Saccharomyces cerevisiae S288C: one gene and its partner. The gene in region 1 interacts genetically with each later gene. Each region holds a gene or a part of one and is shown on either strand. Other genes may lie near its edges.

Region 1 (3,763 bases):
AATATTATTTATTTTTATTCGCGGTGCGTTGCCAGATTTTTTTTGACATGCGGAATTTTGGTAAAAAGAAAAATGCAGATATGAATAGTAAACAAAGGAATAAAAAGCCTTTCATGAAGAAGTTCGTGTTCGAGATCTTCTTCCTTCTTTTTCGCTGTCGACGATAGATATGAATGCTTTTGCCATTGATTTCAAATCCGTCATTAAGCTAACATGACCTGAAGAACTGGCGATTTTACAAACAACTGGAAAGCCTCTCTGTTCAGGCAATAACCATTTATGGTGAACAACACCGTCGCCCGGACCATAGTAAAAATCTTCATAATTCCCATCTTTTATATCTTGTATACCGTTCACTTTAGCACCTCTAACAGTGGGAACCTTGTTACCGTAAACCATGGCCAATGGAGGATATTCTTTGTTCGGGTCGTAATCTAAGCTATCCAAATAATTCTTTGTACGTTTTAAAGTTCTCGCTAAATATTCACAGCTATCTTCATAAGATGTATGGAAGACTTCATCGAAAGGCACATCCCTTGGTACCTGTTTATTATTGCCGGCTACATTCCTAACAACAGGTGCATTTAGGACAAACTTGGTAGTTGCGTTTAGGGTAGCTTTAAGCGAAAGCGCTGATTTCGTTTTCCTTGGTAATAATTTTGATTTTTCGTGAGCTGATTCCTCTCTTTTCTCATTGACGAGAGGTGACAAGCCAAGGGTTTTCCAAACATCTGTATCAAAAAAATCGAAATCATACCTCTCTAAGGTAATTTTGTCAACAAAACATCTACCATCTAACGGTAGAAAATAGAAACTACTTCTCATAAAAAAGTTGGTTTCTTTAGTGAAAATAGTTTTATTCCACATCACATCATCTCCAAACCTAATAGGACCTAAAATATTTGGACATTGGCTTGGGGAACCCACGTAAATAATACCTCTTATCAAATGAGTACAGTCTTGCAACACTTTATGTGCGACCAATCCGCCCATTGAATGGGCAATGATGTATATTCCCTTCTTATTTTTTTGCTTATTGTAAATTTCCTCTAGTTTAGTCGTTAAATGCTTGGCAGATATGTCCAAGGATAATCTCCAATCATAGCCAAACTGCTGAACATTTAAATTAGGATTTGCGTCTAGCCTCTTTATCAACCTCTTAGAGATATCAACAGGCCCTATATGTGTTAGCATTCCATCAGGGACAATCTCCTTCTGAGTTTTAAGTTCATCTTCGTCATTAGGTCCGATCAATAAATCGACTTTCGTCATATTCAAACCTGCCTTTAATGGGATCCAAATTCGCTTATGAGTAGTAGCATCCCTTAGCACACTACCTCGATATCCACCCATTATAACGACATCTCCTTCCAATTCATTCCATATAGATTCTAAACGCGAACGGTAATATCCGTCATGAGTTTTGTCGAATGGGTCTGCTGTTATTTGCTTAATGGAGTTCTTCAAGGCATCCATTTCCAAAGATTCTTTAACAGCCCTTAACCTTGAATTATCAATGCCCCTTTCGTATTTAAATAATTCTATCTCTTCCAAGGAAGAAATGGAGGTTGATTTTTTCAGTTTTTGCTTGATCTCATTCTTTCTTAGATTCTTTTTGATGAACTCATCTGGAGTCTTGGGAAGCACAGTTTTAATTATGGCTAATGGTGAACTTGATCGGAAATTTGTATTACCAAATGGTAAGGAAAAGGAGAAAGTTTTATGAGAGCTGTCATAGTTCCCGTCATGCGAATAAGAAATAATTTCATCGAGATCTTCATCATCAGCGTCAAGAGAAATGGCACTCGCTTGCTTCTCTTCTAAATTATGATAGTTATTGGGCCCAGTTGTTTCCTTCTTTCTTCCCCTTTGTTCACTATCGCTGTCTTTTTCTACTTTATTGCTTATAACTCTTGCACCTCCAATCAAGGTATCCACTTTCTCCATTGTATCCAATTCACCTTCGCTTTCATTTACGGAAAAAAAGCTTACATCACTACCACTATCACTTGAATCAGAAAGACATTGCTTGTTATATTTATCATTATCGGAAATAAGATCAGTAGCCGGAGTTGCCATCATTGTAATACTCCCCAGTTAACCTCTACAAGTTGATTCTTTTACGTATCACCAAAATAGGCAGGCTATTCTTACCCAGTCCTTTCTTTTTAAGGGCGTCATAGAGTTGTAAGCATTTTTTGAGAATGCAGTGATGAGCTATTAACTTCTCAAAACTTCCTGACGTTTTATTACCCGGATTGAAGTACCTTGTATTCTTGGAGATGTCTGTGGTCGAGTTAGGAAGTGTGAACATGCCTATCAACGCCCCAAAAACCAGTGCAGATAATGATCTGGAACAATTTTTCCGTGTTTTAAACTTCCTCAGTAGAAGTATTTTTATTTAGTCGACTATAAAGGTGGAAGTCCATACTTAAGAGATATTAAGGGTATTTTGATCAACAAGTAAGTAACAATCGTTATAAAAATACAATAGCAAAAGTATGAGCGGAGAAAATCGTGCTGTGGTGCCGATTGAATCAAACCCTGAAGTTTTTACAAATTTTGCACATAAATTAGGTTTAAAAAATGAATGGGCGTATTTCGATATCTATAGCTTAACAGAGCCAGAGTTACTAGCATTCTTACCAAGGCCAGTGAAGGCCATTGTGCTGCTATTTCCGATAAACGAGGATAGAAAATCGAGTACCAGTCAACAAATTACAAGTTCTTATGATGTTATATGGTTTAAGCAATCAGTCAAAAATGCGTGCGGATTGTATGCAATTCTTCATTCTTTGAGCAATAACCAGTCATTGTTGGAGCCCGGCTCCGACTTGGACAATTTTTTAAAATCTCAAAGTGATACTTCAAGCTCGAAGAATAGGTTTGATGATGTTACTACCGACCAATTCGTCTTGAATGTAATAAAAGAGAATGTACAAACATTTTCTACTGGCCAGTCAGAAGCACCAGAAGCAACTGCAGATACTAATCTACACTATATCACATATGTGGAAGAGAACGGAGGGATATTTGAACTGGATGGAAGGAATTTGAGCGGACCCCTCTATTTGGGAAAGAGTGACCCAACTGCCACCGATTTGATTGAACAGGAATTAGTTAGAGTGAGAGTCGCCTCATATATGGAAAATGCAAATGAAGAAGATGTATTAAACTTTGCTATGCTAGGATTGGGCCCTAATTGGGAATAATAATTGTTTTATTACTGCGTAGTCAAATATGTATTTACAGAATTCTTTTAAATATATAATTCACCTACTCATCATAGCCACCGCCAAAAGAAAGGAAACCTCCAGTTTGTCTGGAATGTCTCGAAAAATAATCGAAATCGATGGACACAGCGTTTGCTAATAACACGGCCCTTTGATCCAAAGTTAGTACTTGAGAACTTAGCATCTCAGTAGGATAAATATTATCAAAGCATCTCTGCGAATCAAATCTAACAACATAAACACCAGTATCGGTAAACATTTCTCTTCCTAAACCAACCCAATTTCTGTCTACACTCGCCATTATCTTACCATCAGCATCTGTTACAGGAAAATCAAATGATAAGAAAGGTGCATCTATCTTACCAAATTGGTCAAAAGTGGATCCTTCTACTCCATCTTTCTGGAATAATTCGTAACGACGCCTCCAGAGATGCCAGTTCTGAATGGTCTCTCCTACTGTCGTTCCTTCTTTACCGTCGTGATAGTGAGTGGAGTCACTGCCATTATCAACATACGCGGAAGGAGGTATG
Region 2 (2,888 bases), on another chromosome or scaffold:
AAACGGCTGAGGAAGAACTGACAGAGGAAGAGCTAACAGACTCGGTCGAAGAGGAAACAGCGGAGGAAGATGTGACAGCAGAAGAACTAGTAGCTTCGCTTGTAGAAGAAGCAACGGAAGAGCTGACAACTTCACTTGAGGATGGCGCAACAGAGGAGCTGGCAACTTCACTTGAGGATGAAGCAACGGAAGAGCTGACAACTTCACTTGAGGATGGTGCAACGGAAGAGCTGACAACTTCACTTGAGGATGGCGCAACAGAGGAGCTGGCAACTTCACTTGAGGATGAAGCAACGGAAGAGCTGACAACTTCACTTGAGGATGGCGCAACAGAGGAGCTGGCAACTTCACTTGAGGATGAAGCAACGGAAGAGCTGACAACTTCACTTGAGGATGGTGCAACGGAAGAGCTGACAACTTCACTTGAGGATGGTGCAACGGAAGAGCTGACAACTTCACTTGAGGATGGTGCAACAGAAGAGCTAGTGGATGAAGCAATAGAAGAGCTAGCAACTTCACTTGAAGATGTGGCAGCAGAACTTGAGGTAGTTAGAGAAGCATCCATTGCTTCTAATTCTGGAAGCAGTCTAGAAGAGTACCATGGGACCATAGTCAACATATGCTCAACAGCAGAAAAGTCCACTTCAGAGTACAAAGTGGTGTAGGAGTCATCACTTGGATTTGCAACCAATTGCGCAGCAATATCCATAATACCAGCTGGCATTTGGTCCAAGGAAAAACCTGAATTTGGAGTGTAGGATAGGGTGATGTAGTCGGCAATGTTGGTCTTAACATCATCTAAAACAACGTTCAATTCGTTGATTTGTGCTTGGGTTTGAGCGTAAGCAATAGCAGCAAGAGCGGCTAGTAATGTGATTTTAGAGTAAGCCATATTTTTTATGGTATTAATAAGCGAGTGAATAGGTTTTTGTTGCTGGTTTCTATCAGAACAAGAGTAGGGAACGAGATAAGTAAACGGGCTAAAAACTGATCTGTCCTAGCGATCCTTCCCTTTTTATATTCGAAAGCTTGGGATCATATCTTACTGCGTGGAAAACAAAGAATTTGCATCCTCCCTTTTGGACTATCCTACTTGTTAGAAATGCATCGTTTAGGAACCCTGTTCTATTATTTTCCGTCATTTTTTGAGAATTTCCATTCCTTCTAAAAGTGGCAGATGGGTTGTTACGAGATTTTTACTGATAATTCGCGCGCAGCGTCGCCTCTCCGCGAGTTTCAGTGTAAGCTATTGTTGAAAAGTACTTCGTTTGCCTTTTTAAGTTGCCTTTGGTTGCCATTGTTGTATCTTCAGGGTTTTCTTCGGATCACATCAGCTGTGAGAGTACGGTTAAGTTTGGAAGTCACAACTCGATTATGCCAGTTCGTAAGTGAGCACTAGATGACCTTGCTTTCCCCGTACGAGCCGGTTACGGTAGCAACTTTTGTTTTCCTTGCGCGGAGTGTATGCCTATTCTGATCTTTAAATTTCCTGAAGTGTCTGTCGTGCGCCGTAAACGAATTATTACACACACACGAATCTGGGAAACCGTGAACCCCATACATTGTCTTTTTTTTTTCACAGTCCCTTATCAGTACCGTTTGGCTAACAAAAGCATAAAATATTGTTCGTTCAGATGACCCCTTCAGTACACCGCGTTTACAGTTTCAAAGTTCCTTTTAGAATAGCACCCTGTTCGCCGGCGGATAATTTGCACGCCGTATGAAGGAAGAACATATAAAAACGCAAAATATGAGGCATAAACAATCACAATATCCTCACCTTAGAAGTTAGCCGTAGCGGTTTTCTTGCGCGTGCTTGTTTCTTTTCTTAGTTCTAAGCTTCAGCAAACCCATCCACAATCTTTCTTCAAGAACTTTATCGTGTCTACTTCATAACAACCTGCTAAACAGATTGTGAAATCGTTCCTGCTCAAGCAAGTAGTTTATGATAAATCGTCTTGTAATAGCTCGGCAAAACAACATCATATATGAAAGTGTTTCAAGTTTTTTGCCTAGTAGCAGACTGGAAATTCCACCACCTCTCTTCCAGACTTCGGTTTACATAAGAACTTAATGGTGTGTAATTTTTTTACATACTTCTGGAAGCAGATATCATCGGCCCCCAAAGTCGCCTTCTGCAAAATAATGTGGAGATCTTATCTTGTTTTTCTCTTCTTTATGACACCAAGGATACAAACATATTGTCCTGTACCGGTACTAAGGTCAATGGCAGTATTAAATATTATCTCTCCGCTTATAATTTTTGTCAGTCCTATTAAAAAGCAAGACAGTTTACACAGCAGCGCTTGTTACGCAAATTTGACGTTAGTGGAAAAGCTGCAACTTTGGCATTCTATGTCAAACGATTAGTAATATAGTTGACTACTTTCGTAGAATTCCTTCCTCAAGAAAAATTTTCTCCGCCTTTCCTCTCTGAAGATGGAAATAACGCTGCATGGGGAAGAAAATAATGTAATTTTCGAAGCGAAAGCGAGAGAAACGGAGGGGAAAAATAAAAGTGTTTGGCGTATCATAGCCTCATTTGGAAGAATTTAACGCAGTGTAGTTTTCTTGGACGATACAGTAAACTCGACCAGGCACTAACATTACAGAAAATCTCGTATTGATATTGTTATTGCTTAAAGGGTAATCAAGGTAAACAAGAAAGAAGCTCCTCGTTGTCCGTAAATTTTTTAATAAGGAGAGAGAAAAAGAGAGATAACCAAGAGGAGAAAAAGGAATCTGCATCACATTTATTCAGGATAGTACGTTGGCTGATTTAGTACTCAGGATAAAAAATTCTATTTAAATAATGAGACCGAACAAAACAAGTCTGCTTCTGGCGTTATTATCCATTTTATCGCAAGCGAACGCCTATGAATACGTGA

What was found. A genetic interaction does not mean that the proteins touch.
Region 2: mutations in YJR098C (region 1) and YOR008C-A together harm fitness more than expected from each alone (negative genetic interaction), as found in Saccharomyces cerevisiae (one large-scale study listed by BioGRID).

What each region holds. Positions count from the first base shown.
Region 1 is NC_001142.9:613,075-616,837, forward strand, and holds YJR098C (uncharacterized protein), read right to left. Parts: upstream 2,083-3,763; coding exon 112-2,082; downstream 1-111. Other genes in the region: ubiquitin-specific protease YUH1, read left to right, coding at 2,502-3,212; AIM25 (Aim25p), read right to left, coding at 3,277-3,763.
Region 2 is NC_001147.6:342,339-345,226, reverse strand, and holds YOR008C-A (uncharacterized protein), read left to right. Parts: upstream 1-2,145; coding exon 2,146-2,370; downstream 2,371-2,888. Other genes in the region: TIR4 (Tir4p), read right to left, coding at 1-892; SLG1 (Slg1p), read left to right, coding at 2,813-2,888.